Linked DNA regions of Macaca fascicularis. The protein of the gene in region 2 interacts with the protein of the main gene of each other region in a pairwise test. Links are inferred from orthologs where the notes say so. Each region holds a gene or a part of one and is shown on either strand. Other genes may lie near its edges.

Region 1 (10,224 bases), on a different chromosome or scaffold from region 2:
GGAGAAAAGTTGCTCACTCTGCAAGTTTGGAAATGAATGAAAAGCAGACACAGCAGGGTTTGAATTTGTAAAGTGGAATCCTTGAGGTTCTTTAGGTCCTTGACTCATTCGTTCATCTTTTAATCTATTATCTAAATAATATGAATAATCCTTTTGGCTAGACATATAAGAAGAACTACCGCTATTTAAGCCTGATGTTCCTGGTTCACAAGGAGATACAGAGGATACCTGTTTGCGACTGGATAAATGATCTCTAGGATTTATGGGAATATCTTGCATTTGTTTTTTAGAAAAGAAAGATAATACTCCTCTAGAGGCATGTAATGGACAACTCACACTTCCTTTCCCTTGAAATTTTTCCCTAGATTTTCCAGAAAGGATTTCTTCTTGAATATCTGTTGGAAGCTGCTTAAAGACTTCTTGATCAACACCTTCAGGAAGTGAACAGAGTGGGAATTCATTAATATCTTTTCTTTTAGAAAAATTTGTGGTATCTAGTGGATACTCCCTAGTGCTTGTACTTTCAATTCTTCCACTTGGTAAGAAATCCCAGTTTGTTTCTTTGTCTTTGGGAAAATCTTCCATATGAGTGTCTTTCATTTTCTAGAACACAAGAATAACAGATTAATTTAGATATCTGATATGTTTTAAATATCCCTGCTGCTGCTATGTGCCTGTAGCTATTATCTGACATGTTTCTAACCTACTCAGCAAATTCAACTCTTTGTGGTCTGTTCCAAATAACTAGAGATCTACTACCACAATTAGTCACACTATTTTGTGAATCTTTACCCACTATTCCAGGAAGAGGTTTCCTTCCTAGATAGCACCGAGACAGAGGTAAACATGCATTTGGAGACCTGGGAAGAGTGTAACAATCATGCAAGCAAACTTTCAATTCTATAAATACAAGAATGGTGGCCTAGAGAACACAAGTTCACCTAAGGCTATTTTTCAGAAAAACATACACATACAGCATCAAGGGCTAGTTTTCCAAAAATTATTATTCTAAAGGGTAACTTTTAACAAAAAGATAAAAAAGTCTATAACAAAAACCCAACATCATCAAGATATAATACGAGTTTATATTTATATAAAAATTTAAAGACATTTTCAACTCTAACTTGTGTAATTTTCCTATAGTTTTTCATTTAAATGTCTCCTCTAGTTTTAAGCAGCATAAAAATATAAACATAGTCAAATATAACTCAGTAAACATCAACACAATATGAACTCCAAAAAAGTAAAAGGAGTAGAAAAGATTCAGGCCCTTATATTTATTGAATACCTACTGTGTGACAAACATATACAAGGTACTTTCACTTATATTTACTTCTCTAATGCCACTATAAGTGAGCACTTTTAATTCCAATTTCACCGAATAAAATGTAAACAGAAAACACTTTTTCAAATTTAATAGATGGAATAAAAAGGGTCACAGAAAAAAGTAATTTGAAGACACCATTAATTCACTATTTGCATACACTATACTGTTCTCACTTTAAACTTAAATGAAAATGAAAAGGTTACTAAAATTATACTGACAAAACAAACAAAAAAGTATTTTAAATTGAGTTAATTATAGGCATGAACAATTTAGTAAAAAATAATTATTTTTAAGGTAACCCACATTTACTAAATAGTGGTCTATTAGTAAAGGGGTTTTGTTTTAGTCGTCTGAAAATATGACTGGCCTCTGCCTTTCTATTGTCACACTGTTAACTTTACAACTGTAAAATCAGTAGTCAATTCTATCAATATCGCTATCAAAATTCACTACTATTTCAAAACCAAGAAAATGTAAATACTTTAACAAAAGAATCGTGGGAAAGGTACTGGTAACTCATATGTCAGCTAAAAGACAAAAAGATGTGACTTCTAATACCTGAAAATATTTTAATACTTATGAGCTAATCCATCATATTTTTATAGAGCACATATTTTTATAAAATGTGTTAACAATTCCAAAATAGAGAACCTCCATAATGGTTCTCTCTTTTATCCAGTGATGCTTATGTTTTCTTCTTAGATCACAGTATATTTAAGGCCAGCAACCGTAAGATAGGTATTGTAAACAAGTTAATTACCTAAACAATATCACCCAAAAGAATCTCTAAACTCTATCAAAAAGACAAGCACTTAGATTTGTAATTTAACCACACAAATCCCATAAGGGTATACTTAGAAAACTGAACAAAAAAGAGTATACTTACAAAACTGTGCTTGCCAGAGCATGAAGTTGTTGATAATGATGGCGTTAAATAATAATCAATAAGCCCTCTCTTAGCAGTATTTACTGCTTTAAGGTTGCAGAAGCACACACTTAGAAGGGTAAGGTGAAATGGCATCTTCACATTCACCATATTTCGAAAAAGTTTCATTAGTATATCAACCATTGGGGTCATCACATCATAATTTCCTAAATAAAATGTTAAGAAGATAATAAACATAATTAATATTAAGAGCATAATATATTTTATATTGCTGAGATTAAGAAATTAAAATCCTAAATAAGTATCACTGGGCATCTTGACATTATATAACAAATTAAGACATTTCAACATTAATACCAAATGGTTAAAATTTTTCAAAAGATTTGAAATATGGTATTTCTGGTTATAGTACAGTGATATGGTCAGAAAATCCACTCTCAAAAAGCTACTATAAAACTGAACATTGTCAAAAACAATCATTTTGGTGGAAATCTGAAAATGAACCAAAGGCAAACAAAGTAAGAAGTACTGATTTATGAACAGCTGCTATATGTTAGCTAACAAAGTAGGAGACTTTGTCTGGGACTTCATTGTCTGGGACCGTTCGAATGTCCCTTTACATACCTCAGTTGGTACAGGGTGAAGGCTGCAAAAGTCAGCAGTTTCACTTCTAGAGGAGACAGACCTGATTTGAGGCAGAGGGCAAAAGCCCACACTTAGCAACATTGCCAGTAAAATGAGCAAACTTGATAGGAAATGAATGGGAAGATCCCACAGCTCTGCTAGTCTGAGGCTTTAGTTGTGGTTGGGATGAATGACAGATCAGTGGACCAGCCAGAAATGTCACCAGGAGATTTGGAAATGAGAGAACCAAAGAGGGACTACATAGGCTCCCCTCACACCCTTAGCTGACTAGGAGGCTACATGAAAATAAACGGAAGGCCACAGAGGGCCTAAGCTCTCCATACACTCATTGAAACGGCTACATGCATGTCACGGGGAGATAAAGGGGGCCTAGAAGAAATTAAAATTCAAGAAAAACTTGAAAATGGCCTAATTTTTTTTCTTTTATACTTTAAGTTCTGGGGTACATGTGCACAATGTGTAGGTTTGTTACATAGGTATACATGTGCCCTGTTGGTTTGCTGCACCTATCAACTCACCATTTACATTAGGTATTTCTCCTAATGCTATCCCTCCCTCAGCTCCCCACCCCCCAATAGGCCCCGGTGTGTGATGTTCCCCTCCCTGTGTCCATGTGTCCTCATTGTTCAACTCCCACTTATGAGTGAGAACATGTGGTGTTTGGTTTTCTATCCTTGTGATAGTTTTCTGAGAATGATGGTTTCCAGCTTCATTCATGTCCCTGCAAAGAACATGAACTCATCCTTTCTTACGGCTGCATAGTATTCCATAGTGTGTATGTGCCACATTTTCTTTATCCAGTCTATTACTGATGGATATTTGGGTTGGTTCCAAGCCTTTGCTATTGTGAATAGTGCCGCAATAAACATACACGTGCATGTGTCTTTATAGCAGCATGATTTATAATCCTTTGGGTATATACCCAGTAATGGGATGGCTGGGTCAAATGGAATTTCTAGTTCTAGATCCTTGAGGAATCGCTACACTGTCCTCCACAATGGTTGAACTAATTTACACTCCCACCGACAGTGTAAAAGCATTCCTATTTCTCCAGCATCTGTTATTTCCTGACTTTTTAATAATCGGCATTCTAACTGGCATGAGGTGGTATCTCATTGTGGTTTTGATTTGCATTTCTCTAATGACCAGTGATGATGAGCATTTTTTCATGTGTCTGTTGGCTGCATAAATGTCTTCTTTTGGGAAGTGTCTGTTCGTATCCTTGGCCCACTTGTTGATGGGGTTGTTTGCTTTTTTTTTGTAAATCTGTTTAACTTTTTTGTAGATTCTGGATATTAGCCCTTTGTCAGATGGATAGATTGCAAAAATTTTCTCCCATTCTGTAGTTTGCCTGTTCACTCTGTTGATAGTTTCTTTTGCTGTGCAGAAGCTCTTTAGTTTAATTAGATTCCATTTGTCAATTTTGGCTTTTGCTGCCATTGCTTTCAGTGTTTTAGTCAATGAGGTCTTTGCCCATGCTTATGTCCTGAATGGTATTGTCTAGGTTTTCTTCTAGGGTTTTTATGATTTCAGGTCTAACATTTAAGTCTTTAATCCATCTTGAGTTAAATTTTGTGTAAGGTGTAAGGAAGGGATCCAGTTTTAGCTTTCTACATAAGGCTAGCCAGTTTTCCCAGCACCATTTATTATATAGGGAATCCTTTCTCCATTTCTTGTTTTTGTCAGGTTTGTCAAAGATCATCAGATAGTTGTAGATGTGTGGTTATTTCTGAGGCCTCTGTTCTGTTCCATTGGTCTATACATCTGTTTTGGTACCAGCACCATGCTGTTTTGGTTACTGTAGCCTTGCAGTATAATTTGAAGTAAGGTAGTGTGATGCCTCCAGCTTTGTTCTTTTTGCTTAGGATTGTGTTGGCTATGTGGGCTTTTTTGGTTCCATATGAAATTTAAAGTATTTTTTTCCAATTCTGTGAAGAAAGTCAGTGGTAGCTTGATGGGGATAGCACTAAATCTATAAATTACTTTGGGCAGTATGGGAAAATGGCCTAAATATTTTAAGTCCTTTCCAACCCATACACTTATCCACTGGCAGAGGCAGACAGCTTCCAGACTGTAGTGTTTGAGCAGAACCTTTGCCAAACATTGGCTAACCATGAAACTATACAGACATGGGCAACTTCCCAGAAGTCCATATTAAAATAAAAATTTGAATTAAAAAAAAAAAAAAAAAAAAAGAACACTGAGCAGAGAAATCAGTGGCTACAGAACCCAGGGGAGGTAGATTCTGCAGATTACGTTCAGACAAGTTACCTAAAAAAAAGTACAGGAAAGAAAAAAAAAACCCTACAAGAAAAAATTTTAAATCCACAGTTGCTACAATACATTATCTATGAGGTCTAGTTTTCAATAAAATAGTTCAAAACATGCAAAGAAACAGGAAAGTGTGATACATATTTGGGGGAAAAAGCAGTTAACATAAATTGACTTTGAGGTGGACTTAGCAAAGACTTCAAATTCATTATTATAGATATATCCAAAGAATTAAAGACAACCATGTTTAAAGAATTAAAGCAAAATATAATGAGTACAAAAAAAGGAGAATCTCGATAAAGAAACAAAACCAAACATAAAAACAAAAGACAAACAGAAATTCTAGAGTTAAAAAGCACAGTAACCAAAACCAACAAATCACTACAGGGGCAATGGCAGTTATGAGATACAGATGAATCAGAGACCTTAAAGGCAGCTCAATACAGATTATCTACTTTGTAAGAAAGAACAGAAAAAAAAGATTGCAGAAAAATAAACAGAGCAGCAGAGACCATCATAGGGTGGAATCGGTGTAAGGATAAACATATAGACCAATGAAACAAGAAAGTCAGGAAATAAACTCTTACATTTATGGTCAATTAATTTTTGACAAAGATGCCATGGTAATTCAGTGGGTGAAGAAAAATCTTCAACAAATGATGCAGGAACAACTGGATACCCACATGCAAAGCAAAGAATTAAGTCCCTTACCATATACCACACATAAAAAATTAACTCAAAATGGACATAAACATAAAGCTTAAAAACTATAAAACTTCTAAAAGAAAACAGAATATGTGACCTCTGAGTTAGGCAAAGAATTTTTACATATAACACCAAAAACACTATCCATAAAAGAAAAACCACACTACTATATACCGCTAGAACAACTATAATCGAAGAGACTGACAATACAAATATTGGCAAAAATATGAAAAACTGGAACCTTCATATATTGTTGATGAAAATGTAAATTATTACATGAACTTTGGAAAAAGTTGGCAGTTTCTTAAACAGTTCATGTTCCCATATGATCCAGCAATTCCACTCCTTAAAATCTACCCAAGATAAAGGAAAACATATGCATATGCCCATCCAATGACTTGCACTTAAATGTTCTTCAAAATGGAAACAATCTAAATGCCCATAAAGACTCATGCTATCAGTTATCACAGTTTTGTTCTCTTTGAACTTGGAAAACATTCTTAAATGACTCTTATCTATTTAAAAACCAGGCCAGGTCCAGTGGTTCATGCCCATAATCCGAGCACTGTGGGAGGCTGAGGCAGAAAGATTGCTTGAGCTCAGGAGTTTGAGACCTTGTCTATCCTAAATGTCAAAAAAAGTTAGCCAGGTCTGGTAGCATGCACCTACGGTCCCAGCTACCCGGGAGGCTGGGGTAGAAGAATTGTTTGAGCCGGGGAGACGAAGGCTGCAGTGAGCTATCACAGCACCACTGCACTTCAGCCTTCGTGCAGAGCAAGACCCTGTCTCAAAAAATAAATAAATAAACAAACAAACAAACAACAAAGTTTTCTGGTGAAAATTCCTGATAGAATAAAAGCATTTAATTGCTTGCTAATTCCCTGTGAAGACCCTCCATTTTTGGAGCATATTTCTAGTTCAAAGTTGGCTTGTTTAAGAGTTCAACCTGCTAATGAAACTGTTGGAAAACTAGTCCATACCTGTCCCTAACTTCTGAATTATATGTGATGGAATAGGGCACTGACGACTCTCACGACCACAGTGCTTCTCAGAGGGATATCGACGGATTATTAATCTTACTGTATGAGGCTTCCTTCCATCTTGGCATACTCTAAAAATAAAGAGAAAGTGGAAATAAGGAATTAGAAAAGTATTACCTTTTTAAATTATATAACACCTCATTTATCTAAAGGTGCCAGATTTTGTTAAATATAACAATTATACATATAGTAGATAACAAAATAGTAAGCAATAAAGGTCCCTGAGTATCCAAATAATCATCACAAAGTCTATGCACTAAAACTCTGAATGTTTAGATGTCAAGCTCTCAGGCCTCACTCAGAATTGAGTGCTGTCAGAAATAGAAGAGATATAAGATATAATCAAAACAAGTTGTTTTATAATACAAATTCAAAACAAAACTAAAAGCAACCAATTTTTTTTTTCAAGATGGAATCTCGCTCTGTTGCCCAGGCTGGAGTGTAGTGGCACAATCTCAGCTCACTGCAACCTCCAATTCCCAGGTTCAAGCAGTTTTCCTGCCTCAACCTCCTGAGTAGCTTGGACTACAGGCACGTGTGACCACACCTGGCTAATTTTTGTATTTTTAGTAGAGAGGTGGTTTTGCCATGTTGGCCAGGCTGCTCTCGAACTCCTGACCTCAGGTGATCCCCCACCTCAGCCTCCCAAAATGCTGGGATTACAGACGTAAGTCACCACACCTAGCCAAAAGGCAGCAAATTAAAATCAGCAGGAAATTTAAGAAACTGAATCATTCACTAACAAAAGCAAGTAAGTGAAAAATAACAAAATAACTTTTTTCAAACTTTTTTCTTATGAGATTACCAAAAAAAAGATTTTTTTTTTTACAAAATGAGATTACTCTTGTTAAAGAGTAATCACTATTACCATTATATGATAGCTTATTAGAGCAATATCTTCAAAGATCATATGCTATATTTAGTATATAATTAATATACAATATGTGCACATGCATTTTTAAAAAGAGTTTCATCCAATTGTCTTGGTTTTGGTATTGAAACAAAGGTTTTAATTATATGACAAATTCACTTAAGAAGTACAAAACCTAATTAATGGAAAAAAAGTCATTAAAGGATAACATTTCCCCTTTTATACACATGGCAACGCATATAAAACCAAATCTCAGACATAAAATGCAAATATTGCATATTGTTAAACACACTCAACTTGAAGACTCTGATCTGAAAAAAACAGTTTTGGGCCAGGCACGGTGGCTTATACCTGTAATCTCAACACTTTGGGAAGTTCAGGTAGGAGGATCACTTGAGCCCAGGAGTTCAAGACCAGCCTGGGCAACATAGCGAGACCTCATCTACAAAAATTTAAAAATTAGCTAGGCTTTATGGCAGGTGCTTTCCCAGCTATTCTGGAGGCTGAGGTGGGAGGACTGCTTGAGCCCAGGAGGCTGAGGCTGCAGTGAGCCATGATTGCACTATTGCATTCCAGCCTGGGTGACAGAGCAAGACCCTATCGCAAAAAAATAAAAAATAAAATAGTTCTGTATTAAATAAATTTTTTCTATCTCTTATTGCTTTGTGACAAAACTTCTCGATGGCTGCTTAACTAGGATAATAAAATACCTTAAATGGCTACTAGTTTAAATATCTTCCAGTTAAACGTGTTCTATTAATTATGCAATTCAAAGAGTATGATATGCTAATTAAGACACATTAGAAAAAGGCTGAATCATAAGCAATATTAAACTAGTGCCTAGAGGATGGATTAAAAATAATATGGTTTTTACATTTCTTACATACCTATAGTATTAATCATAACATACTCTAGAGAAAACAAAAGTAATTATACACAAATACACACAGACACTCCTGTAATTTTTTTTTTGCAAGTCACTTAGATGGTGTTATAATTCAGTCACTGAAATAAGGGCCCGTGGTGTGGGAGAAAAGGAGCTGGCAAGCAGAGATACAGATAAATGGTTAATTTCACAGGTTTTGTATTTCACAGGTTTAGAGCACCTGGTCTCACTTCTGGGTTGACTCTTCAAATAAGAGAACCTGTAAAACTTACACTTCTTGCGGTTTTTCTACGTGAAGAACTGTCTCCAAATGTTAGGCATTTCAGAGTAGTCTTCTATTTAGCTGAAGCAAATGACCCAGTTTCACTAGCATACGCGCAGGCCCAGCCTGAGTCATATCACTGAAGCCCAGTCATACAGCCAGCCCCAGCTGCATGCAGCCAACAATGAGCTACATGGCTCTGCTCAAGACATTTGAGTGCCACGTTGCATACAACAGCAAAGTTGGAGGAAATTTCACTTCATCAGTTTTCTCAGACTTAGAACCATCCAAAAACCATTTTCTCTAAATACAGTTAGTCCTCCTAGAATCATTGGAGAAGCACACCTACTCTAAACTGTTAGAGCCCTGAAACCACAATTTGAGAAATTTCTAACAAGAGAAGCAGAAACAAAGAATGGGAAGAAAACAGATAATACTTGTTTGTGGAATATGAATAGTGAGAAATACATGTATAATGACAAGGAGCACCACAAAATTAAATTTCCTTTTCAGTTTATCTTGTGCTACTCATATATTTATAACCCCAGGTGATACTCTTCACATACAGATCAGAAACCCTGCACACACCTGCAGTCACTCACCCTGCTCACACATAGCCCCAGCCAGCCATTCTTTCTCCTTCGACTCTATTTTATTTTACAGTCTGAGGCAAAAGAGATACAAGGGTTCTTCTGCTTCTTCCTTCACTGTTACTTTAATAATTTCCTATCCCCAACAATCACAAATTTATATAGCTGTTCCTGTATCAGGAGTTTTAGAATTATGACAGTATTATTCCTCTTTGCATTTTTTTCTTCTTAATGAAATGCAAGTAACTATTAGCAGAGATAAATGGTTAATTTCACACGTTTTGTATTTCGCATGTATTTGTATTTAGCATGGTACTAACTTAATGAAATTCAAGTAACTATTAGGTTGAGGGCAAAGGCTTTGCAATTGCCACAGGGAAAAATTAAAACTTCTTCTTCTCACCTGAAGACTAGAGTAAGTCTAAGAATGTTAGAAATATCCATAAAACCCCTTTAGGTAACCATCTGCAGCTTTAGATCCATAGGACAACCACACTGTTACTAGAATTAAGACCAATGAATTAAATTTAGGTAAGAGCCCCTATTACCATCTTTACAATAGTTTATAATGCAGAGAAATCACATGATAAATTATTTTTACATTGTTTACTCTCCAGATAATTTGTCAGTTCCAAGATGGAACATCAAATATTCTTTCTATATACCGTATACAGAATGAATATATAGGATGACTTGGCAAAATGGATTGAAAATCACCTGTTTAAAAGACTAGCAAGTAGT
Region 2 (10,108 bases):
CCTAGGGCTGAACCATGGGCCTCCCCCTGGTTCCCAAGTCCTTACAAATCTCTAAGTTGGGGATTGCCTAACAATAGACTAGTAGCAAGTCGTCCTCCTACCTAGACCTCAGACAGACCAACATTCTCTTCTGTGCCCTTTGCACGCCCCACTTCCTTTCCACACACTGGGGATGGCCCAGGTCAGGCACTGCCCTAGGTCAGGAACTGCCCTGTTGCCCACACTCTCTGTTAAGGTCAGGTCCCTCTGCAGCCAGTGACAGCCCCAGATCCCTGCTTCCCCTCCAGTACGCCCGTTTGGTGGAGATCGTGGGCATGCATGACCTTGCCGTGGGCATTACCCTGGGGGCCCATCAGAGCATCGGTTTCAAAGGCATCCTACTCTTTGGAACGAAGGCCCAGAAAGAAAAATACCTCCCCAAACTGGCATCTGGTGAGGCAACCCTAGGAGACCCAAGGATTGGGGGGGTATACTGAGCCTGGCACAGATTAGGCCAGTTGGCACTCAGATTATCAGATGGCTGGGCATTTCAGTCGGGGGAAGATTCTGGAGAGGCATCACGGTGTGCTGGTTGGGACATGCAAAAGAAAACTGGATACTCCCAGGTGTTAAAGGGGAACTGCCTGCTGGAGGGATGGGGAAGTGGGCCGAGGGGACTTTGAAGCTCGTCAGAACTTGGGGTAAAGGAGCTCTCTCCCCAACAGGGGAGACTTTGGCCGCTTTCTGTCTAACCGAGCCCTCAAGCGGGTCAGATGCAGCCTCCATCCGAACCTCTGCTGTGCCCAGCCCCTGTGGAAAATACTATACCCTCAATGGAAGCAAGCTTTGGATCAGGCAATCTGCCTCCCATTTCTCCCCTTATCCTCCACCCAATTCCAGGCCCCGCTGCTCCCCGTCCTCCATGCCCTGAATGTCCCTCATTCTTCCACAGTAATGGGGGCCTGGCAGACATCTTCACAGTCTTTGCCAAGACACCAGTTACAGATCCAGCCACGGGGGCGGTGAAGGAGAAGATCACAGCCTTTGTGGTGGAGAGGGGCTTCGGGGGTGTTACCCAGTGAGTGAATTTGGGTTGGGAGAGCTTAGGACTGAGGGGCAGGACTGGGTTCCTGGGCAGATGGCTGTTGCAAGTCACCCGGGGATGTGTGCAAAAGCCAAAGCAGGTGAACTGAATGTGGCCTTTGGGACTAATATGTATGCAACTGAGCTAAAGTTTTGGCTCCAGCAACCAAGTCCAACACAAAATAAGACATAGCCAGGCCTCCTTAGCCTTCAGGGCCGGGGGTAAGTGTTGGCTGTAGCCTCTAATAGTCTAGGAGTTGTAATTCCTCCCTAGTGCATAAAGAGCGAAGAAGCAGTTTTTCCCCACTGACAAGCTGTTGAACACACCTCTGCTTTCCCACATTGCCCTGACACAGTGGGCCCCCTGAGAAGAAGATGGGCATCAAGGCTTCAAACACAGCAGAGGTGTTTTTTGATGGAGTACGGGTGCCATCGGAGAATGTGCTGGGTGAGGTTGGGAGTGGCTTCAAGGTCGCCATGCACATCCTCAACAATGGAAGGTTTGGCATGGCTGCGGCCCTGGCAGGTACCATGAGAGGCATCATTACTAAGGCGGTGAGTACCCTGCCCAAGTCCCCAGGTAACCCAAACAGTAGTCTCACTGTCCCCCTTGCCATGTGTCCCTGATCACTTGCAGGCACTCCCTACACCAGAAACCCCTCCCCTACCAGCAGCCCCAGACTTGTGAGCTTAGGTCTCCATCCAGCGTAGACTGAACTCTGGTTGTATGCAAAGCCCATCCCTGTGGCGCAAGCCCAGCCCCTGTCTAGGGAGACTGCAGAACCACACTGAACCAAAGTGGAATACATGGACCCTCTTCCAGGTAGATTATGCCACTAATCGTATCCAGTTTGGGGAGAAAATTCACAACTTTGGGCTGATCCAGGAGAAGCTGGCCCGGATGGTTATGCTGCAGTATGTAACTGAGGTGAGGGCCTCCCAAGCTCCTCTCCCTGAAGCCCTGGGGCTTTCTTCCCAGTTGGGTCAGACTACAACCCCCAGCAGCACCTGGGGCAGTGGGTCTCCAGCTTTACACCAATGCCCTAGGGGATGCGGGGAGGCATAGTCAGCTCAGCTTCTGCCGAAGGAAAAGAGCAATGATGTTCTGCTCAGGTGCCTGCCAGCAGTACCAGAAGTTAATTCTACCCCATCCCTTACGTCCACCCCTTTTAAGAAAACAAATACTGCCCGGGCGCGATGGCTCACGCCTGTAATCCCAGCACTGTGGGAGGCTGAGGCGGGCGGATCACGAGGTCAGGAGATCGAGACCATCCTGGCTAACACAGTGAAACTCCGTCTCTACTAAAAATACAAAAAAATTAGCCGGGCGTAGTGGCAGGCGCCTGTAGTCCCAGCTACTCGGGAGGCTGAGGCAGGAGAATGGCGCGAACCCGAGAGGTGGAGCTTGCAGAGCTGAGATTGTGCCACTGCACCACCCCAGCCTGGGCAACAGAGCGAGACTATGGGAAAAAAAAAAAAAAAACAAATACCTGGAAGCGCCTGATGAACTGACCCAGAACAACTATTTGCCTGACCTAACAAGCTAGGTCATCCCTAATCTTGGAGATCTGGGTGATGAAGCCAAGTCTGACAAAGCCCTTTGCAATTTTCCTTCCCATGTCCCAACCATGCAACCTCAGTCCATGGCTTACATGGTGAGTGCTAACATGGACCAGGGATCAACGGACTTCCAGATAGAGGCCGCCATCAGCAAAATCTTCGGCTCGGTGAGGTCCCAGGCATGCTGGGAGGGAGTCCAGTTTGGGAGCTCAGCTCCCACAACCAGTCTCATCTGTTCTTTGTCCCTAGGAGGCAGCCTGGAAGGTGACAGATGAATGCATCCAAATCATGGGGGGTATGGGCTTCATGAAGGTACAGGACGGTCTTCTGAGCCTCGTTTGGGCCAGGGGTGGGTAGGCACATCTCAGCAGGGGCATATAATTTGTGTGGCCCTGTGCTAGGAACCTGGAGTAGAGCGTGTGCTCCGAGATCTTCGCATCTTCCGAATCTTTGAGGGGACAAATGACATCCTTCGGCTGTTTGTGGCTCTGCAGGGCTGTATGGTAAGAGGGAGAATTGGGTGGGGGTAGAGGTGGGGAGGACAGTGAGTCCTGACTGCTGGACCCTCTTCCCCATAGGACAAAGGAAAGGAGCTCTCTGGGCTTGGCAGTGCTCTAAAGAATCCCTTTGGGAATGCTGGCCTCCTGCTGGGAGAGGCAGGCAAACAGCTAAGGCGGTAGGCTTAGGGTCAGGGCCAGGGGAGGGCAGGGCAGTGTATGACAACTAACCAGTCATTCTCCCTCTTCCTCTCAGGCGGGCAGGGCTGGGCAGCGGCCTGAGTCTCAGTGGAATTGTCCACCCGGAGTTGAGTCGCAGCGGTGAGCTGGTAAGTGGCCAGGGGTCCAGGAGAGCCTGCGTCAGGGACTGTAGCCGACAGCCCCTCTGAGCCCTGCACTGTCCCCATCTCTTCAGGCAGTACAGGCTCTGGAGCAGTTTGCCACTGTGGTGGAGGCCAAGTTGATAAAACACAAGAAGGGGATTGTCAGTGAGTGAGCTCTACACCCTTCCGCCCCTCCCTTTCCTCTCCTTGAGACTAATGCCCCCACCCCCACCCCACCTACCCGGCAGATGAGCAGTTTCTGCTGCAGCGGCTGGCAGACGGGGCCATCGACCTCTATGCCATGGTGGTGGTTCTCTCGAGGTGAGGAGGCAGGCGGGGAATGCCTGAGCCGCAGGGGGCCTGGGCCTGGATCCCAGCCGGCCCAGATTTATTTTCATCTCCTGCTTCCTGCCAGGGCTTCAAGATCCCTGAGTGAGGGCCACCACACGGCCCAGCATGAGAAAATGCTCTGTGACACCTGGTGTATCGAGGTGAGACTCGGGGCTGCCAAGCTCAGGTGAGGGCTAGAGGTGCAGGCCCAACCCTCCTTCCCTCTCCCCAGGCTGCAGCCCGGATCCGAGAGGGCATGGCCGCCCTGCAGTCTGACCCCCGGCAGCATGAGCTCTACCGCAACTTCAAAAGCATCTCCAAGGCCTTGGTGGAGCGGGGTGGTGTGGTCACCAGCAACCCACTTGGCTTCTGAATACTCCTGGCCAGGGCCTGGCCCGGTTATGTGCCTTTCCTCAAGCCAAAGCCCCTCTCCTTAGGGCCCTGGTTTGTCCCGGAGGGGGCCTAGTATTCCCAGGACTGTGCCTGCTCTCAAGAGCACTTACTGCCTCGAAAATAATAAAAATTTCTAACCAGTCATGCTTTGCTCCTGTGTGTCCGTTCTTTCCCTCTGCTGCCTGCCTCCCTCCCAAAGAAAGGAGCCAGAGGCGTGGGGAGTTTGCCTCTATTGCTTTATTTGGTGTTTTATACAAGTGACTAAAATAAATAGAGTAACAAAGGCAGCTACATGGCCCAAATCTCCCAGCTTCCTCAGGCTGCTGTCTAGGGTGCCTAACCCCAGGGTACCACTGACCACCCCCAAACCTGCACAGGGCAAGGCTATGGGTAACTGGAGGAGGAGGTCACATTCTGGGGTTAGAAGGGGCCCAACGGACGGGATTTTTCATATAAAAGAGAAAATGCCTATTTAAAAAGTCCCAAAAATGTAAGAAACTCTATTTTAACCCCCAAAAAGACTTATTAAAAAAACAAAGCTAAAAATAATCAAAGGTCCCTTGTCTACCCGAGGGAAGGGGGAGGAACCAGGCACTGCTGGTGAGAGTCACAGTGGCCACAATCTCCTGTATGGCAGCAGCTGCTAGGCTGAGCCCAGGCACTGTAAGAGCAAGCACATGATGGCCAGGACAGCCAGTCACACACCAGGAGCGCCAGGCCAAGCCTGGCCCCACAGTGGGCTACATAACATCCACAAAGAACTCGCTGGGATTGCCCATGGCCATGTGGAAGCTTTGGCGGCTGGCTGTCAGTTCTGGCGGCACAGAGCCCAGGTCTCTGACTGGAGGGGCCCCCGGAGGCTGCACTGCTGGAGGGACTGGAGGTGGGGGTGGGGGCATCATGACCACCATCATGGGGTTGTAGGGGAGGGCCATGCCAGGGGGTGGTCCATAAGGATGGAGCCCCGAGTGGGCTCGGAGATTAGGGGCACCCCCAGCTGAGCCTCTGGATGGAGGAGGGCCCCCATCGCCAGTCCCACTTGGTTCCCCACCCCGCCGAAGGCTGCCCCCTCGGCTGGAGGGCTCGGACTCACTGCCACTGCCGGACTTGGACTCGGGGGCCCGCTCCTCGGGCCTCCCTGTGCGCCCTGCCCCCCCATCACTCCGGGTCGACCCACTGCTCCGGCTGCCTGTGGAGGGAGGGGAGGGGCAACTAAGTCCTCACCCAGGCTCCTCCCTGGCTCCCCTCTGATCCACCCTCAGACCCTGGCCGTACAGGTATGTGGGGATGACTTACCCTCACTGTGCTGGCTGCTGGCACTGCCCCCACCAAAGGTATAAGATGAAAGTTCATGGTACGGTGGGGGCTGCGGGCTGTAGGGGTGTGGGGCCGGGTATTGGTAGGAGAAAGTGGGCAGCAAGGGCCAGGGGGTGGCCCCAGGCAGAGGAGCCAGGGTGTCCTGGTCGGAAGCCCCACTGGAGCCATCGTTGTCATTGAGAGACAGGTTGACTAGGTCTGGAAAACAAGGGAAGTGAGGAAGAAATCACTGCTTCAAGAGGCTAAGGCCCCAAGACACGGAATGGAGAGCCCAGACCCACCCACGATGGGGCTCAAAACAGGGGTTCACAGGGGTCTCTTGACAGGAAACTCCCATCTACTTCTGCCATGAGGGCAGGGGCACAGCCAGGGCCACCACTAGCCCATGTCTTTGTGGGACTCAGGAGGATGTGCACCTTCCCCCGGTGGACACAGTCCTGCACCTGGCGCGTGGCTTGTCCAGCAGCGCATGGATGGATGCCAGCCACGATCCTCAGCCAATGCAGGACCTAGTGCGGGACACACGCTGCTCGACCATCCATCGTGGCCCTGGCTGCAGTTTCTGGGCTAGGTCTAGGGTTGGAGAGGCAGAACAAGGCAGGCAAAGCCACACTCCCAGAGTTGGGGCAGAGGGACTCACAGCTCTCACAGCCACCACTGAGGTCTCCGAAGACGTAATAGCACTGTTCAGAGAAGGTGATCTTGTTGACGGTGTGTCGGATCAGGCCCGCTTTGAGCAGCCCACTGGCATACTTGCGGGCCTCCCGCCGCTCAGGAAAGCCCTCCACGTGATGGTAGAGCCAGTCAACCACATCCGAGCCTGGGAGCATCCACAGTGGAAAAAGGCCTCAGGTTCTCCTTCCAACTCCTGCTCTCGCCTCTGCCTGTGCCACTCCCGGCTTTGGCTGCCTCCTCCTCCCTTTCTCCAGCCACCTGCCCAGGGCCCAGCCGTACCCAGAAAGGCATTAGGGATGGTGATCTTGAGCCACATGCGGTCCCGGACTTCCAGTCCAGACTCTGGAGCTGCCATGGCCTTGGTCACCGATGCCATGTCCGTATGGATGGAGAGACCCCGGCCCTCACAGCCTGGCAAAGGAGACCACAGGGAATGAGAGTCAGGGATCACTCCCACAAAGGCAATGGGTCAGACCACTGCAGGACAGCCTTCTGCTGGGAGGGTGGGATGCGGTGGGCTGGTGGCTCACCATCAGGCAAAGAGGATCCAGATGTAATGGTGCTCATGGAGGAGGAGCCCGGATAGGCTGGGAAGGTGCCAGTCAGAGCCGCAGAGTGGGACACCCAGGCAGCAGGGTCAATTGGCTGGATGGGCTCATCTGGGACAGAGATGGCACCAAAATGACCCATTCTCAGTCCCCAAAAGCCAGCCCAGTCCCTCCCTGACTCAGCCTCCTGTTCCACCTCTGCCTGGACCCTCCTCCCACCCACTCCCCATGACCAGAGGTCCAGCCCCAGCCTCCTGGCCAGCCCCCACCCCCAACTTCAGGCCCCCTCCCTGAGTGTCACTCACTTCTCGGGAGAGTGAAATAGGCCTGAGGAGAGGGATCCCAGCACTTGGCCACAGTCAGCACAATGGGGCTACGGGGAAGAGAAGTCCAGTCAAGGGCGCAGGGGAAGAGGAGGCCTCAGGAGAGTGGGGGCCTGAAGCAAGGATGGATTAAGAGACACAAAGAGAAGGAGAAGCAAGCACATCGCGGCTGGGCTGGAGAAGGTGAGGGTGGAAGGCACCACAATGCGGATGACTCATCAACATGGAAAACTCTTAAAAACATACTGCCAAATGAGACAAGAGAGTACACGCTGTACAATTCCATTCACAGAAAGACCAAAAACAGGTAAAATGAAACCGTGCTGTTCAAGGATACATGCAAGAATGGTAACTATCGAGTGAGGCAAAGCTCTCCTCTGTTATGGTGATAGCCAAAGAAGTCAGGAGAGTGACCACCCCTGGGGGAGGGAGGCATTTGGGAGCAGGAAGGGACATCTGGGGAGGAAGTTCTAGAATATCAGCAATCTCCTATTTGATGGTCTAAGTGGCAGTGACATGGATATTCACTCTAGTATTGATACGTCACACATTTGTTTCACGTACTTTCAATGTTATGTCTCAGCACTTTTTTTTTTTTTTTGAGATGGGAGTCTCGCTCTGTCGCTCAGGTTGGAGTGCAGCGGTGTGATCTCGGTTCACTGCAACCTCCGCCCCCTGGGGTTCAAGTGATTCTCCTGTCTCAGCCTCCTCACTAGCTGGGACTACAGGCGTGCGCCACCACACCCACTTAATTTTTGTATTTTTAGTAGAGACAGGGTTTCACCATGTTGGTCAGGCTGGTCTCGAACTCCTGACCTCTGGTGATCCACCCATCTCGGACTCCCAAAGTTCTGGGATTACAGGCATGAGCCACCACGCCTTACTACTTATTAAAATTGCAAAACAAAACATAAAAGAGAAAAAAAGAGAACTGAGGACCTGCAACCTGCTTGGCAACTTACCCAGGCTTGTGCACAATGTCCCTCAGCACCCGCACGGCGTCATCATTGCTCATGTTCTCAAAGTTCATGTCATTCACCTGGAAGCAGGGGAAGTGGGTCAGAGGCATGGTGGGAGAGGCTGAGGGCTCCCGTGCAGGGCAGCTCGGTGGCCACACCCCAGCACACCTGCAAAAGCATGTCCCCTGGCTCAATGCGTCCGTCGGCCGCCACAGCCCCACCCTTCATGATGGAGCCAATGTAGATGCCTCCGTCTCCCCGCTCATTGCTTTGGCCCACAATGGAGATACCCAGGAAGTTGTACTTCTCTGTGGAGAGAGGCCATGTGAGGAGAGGAGGCCCCCGCGGCAGGACCCCCAGAACCCTAGAGAGAGAGGCCATGTGAGGAGAGGAGCCCCAGCCGCAGGACCCTTGGAACCCTAGAGACCAGGCCCTCCCCACGCCCTAGCCACAGGCTCTCCCCATACCCATGTTTAGCGTGACTGTGATGATATTGAGAGACATGGTGGAATCTGTGACGCTGCTGAAGGACGATGTCTGTGGTGGGAAAAGAAGGAGCTAGAGTGCCCTTCAATGACCCAGGGTCAACCCTGGGGTGCTGCCAGTGTCCAGGCACCACCCAAACCAAAGCCTATGCCCCACCTTCTCCCAGCACCAGCCTTCCCGTGGGAACCCCTCACCCTCTCCAGGCGGGGTGGCCGCTGCTTCCTCCGCCGTCGGTGGCGCTTAAGGAGGCGGGAGGCACTGCTCTGCTCCGTGGAGCTGCTGAACCTGCCAGGAGGTTGGAAGGAGAGCAAACGTAGGCCAAAGTGGTCATGGGGCCAAGAGAAAGAACCAGAGGATTGACTGGAGGAGAAGAAAGGGGGCTGGGTGCGCTGGGGAGAGCTGTGCGGAGCCACACCTGCTCATGGTGTCCTCCTCGTCAGAGTCCCCCAGGCTGGTACTCTCCAGCTCACTGGTCATGAGGGTAGAGGAGCTCTCATATCCCGCCAGGTGGCGCTCCAGCCTTGAGGGGCCACCAGTCCTGTGGCCCCCAGCTGCATATGGACAGGAAGCTCAGGAACCAAACTTCCCCCTGCTCACCCCACCAAGGCTGGGGTCTGGCCCAGCCCTTCCCAGCCCCCAGGCCTGCCCCTCACCGCCATGCTCACTGCTGTCTCTCCTGCGAGGCCGCTCCCGCCTCAGTGACACTACTGACTCGGTTTCTGTCTCAGGCTCCAGATTCTCATGGCTGCTGGACACATTAGGGCTGGACAGGCAGAGATGGTTTCCAATCCATATCAGGAGAACAGGGTTCCGGATCCCAGGCGTACCCTACCAAAAGGCCTGGGTTCCCTCCTCACCTCCCTCCCTCGAAGTCAAGAATCAGAAGGACTCACTGAAAGGATGGAGGCCTTGAGTCCCCAATGCCGCTGGTCCTCTCGGGTGGCAAAGGGGGTAAAGGTGGGGCTGGAGGCGCCAGTTCTGCCCGAGGCTCGTGGGCTGGAGGAGCCATCTCGGGTTGGGGATTATCTGAGGACACCAGCTAGAAGGGTGCAAACAATAAACAGTGGCGCTCAGCTGGGAGTCGGGGTGTGACAGGTTGCAGTAAGTGAAAGAACGAAAAAGGGTCTCAGAGAGCTGGAGAAGAGCAAAATAACCTAGCAAGTATTAGAGACTCCAGAAGGAGAAGGCTGAGGGCCTCTCACTGGCTCTCCAAACAGATAAGAGGTAAAGAGCCAGGGCTGCTAATACCTGGCCTGGGAGAGGGCTACAGAAACGGACTGAGGCCTGGGGAAGCTTGGAAATGCAGAGGGGACCCAGCCCTCGGCGTCTGCACCTCTTACCCAGGATACCACCCTTCCGTTGAAGCAGGGGAGGCGGGCGTTGTCATCTGAAATTTCTTCCTTCACCACTCTGCCAAGAGACAAGGTGGAGGTCAGTGAGCTGGACCAACCACCCCCACCCCCACCCCCATCAAAGTTCCTCCCAATCTTCACCGGGCTCCAGGATGCTGACTTTCTCCCGCCCTGTTCAGGTCTTCTCTTACATTGAAAAAACTCACTCTGACACCTAAGAAATCTCCAAACTCAATCCCCTTTCCTTATTTCTCCTCTCCCTAACGCACCCTCAGGGGCGTAG

What was found.
Region 1: the proteins of DVL2 (region 2) and POLI interact in a two-hybrid assay, tested with the Homo sapiens proteins (2 studies listed by BioGRID and IntAct). The two-hybrid records come from large-scale screens. The link is inferred for Macaca fascicularis from reciprocal best matches to the Homo sapiens genes DVL2 and POLI.

Annotation. Positions count from the first base shown.
Region 1 is NC_088392.1:35,308,418-35,318,641, forward strand, and holds part of POLI (DNA polymerase iota), read right to left. Parts: coding exon 10,201-10,224; intron 6,946-10,200; coding exon 6,815-6,945; intron 2,420-6,814; coding exon 2,214-2,419; intron 604-2,213; coding exon 1-603. UniProt on the Homo sapiens protein: Error-prone DNA polymerase specifically involved in DNA repair. Plays an important role in translesion synthesis, where the normal high-fidelity DNA polymerases cannot proceed and DNA synthesis stalls. Favors Hoogsteen base-pairing in the active site.
Region 2 is NC_088390.1:7,270,231-7,280,338, forward strand, and holds the end of DVL2 (segment polarity protein dishevelled homolog DVL-2), read right to left. Parts: intron 9,884-10,108; coding exon 9,814-9,883; intron 9,513-9,813; coding exon 9,367-9,512; intron 9,237-9,366; coding exon 9,127-9,236; intron 9,025-9,126; coding exon 8,889-9,024; intron 8,759-8,888; coding exon 8,668-8,758; intron 8,525-8,667; coding exon 8,455-8,524; intron 8,296-8,454; coding exon 8,156-8,295; intron 8,068-8,155; coding exon 7,991-8,067; intron 7,079-7,990; coding exon 7,011-7,078; intron 6,817-7,010; coding exon 6,688-6,816; intron 6,569-6,687; coding exon 6,437-6,568; intron 6,303-6,436; coding exon 6,123-6,302; intron 5,681-6,122; coding exon 5,462-5,680; intron 5,355-5,461; coding exon 4,906-5,354; 3' UTR 4,385-4,905; downstream 1-4,384. Other genes in the region: ACADVL (very long-chain specific acyl-CoA dehydrogenase, mitochondrial), read left to right, coding at 288-432, 705-834, 932-1,057, 1,419-1,617, 1,886-1,990, 2,703-2,789, 2,872-2,934, 3,024-3,125 and 6 more.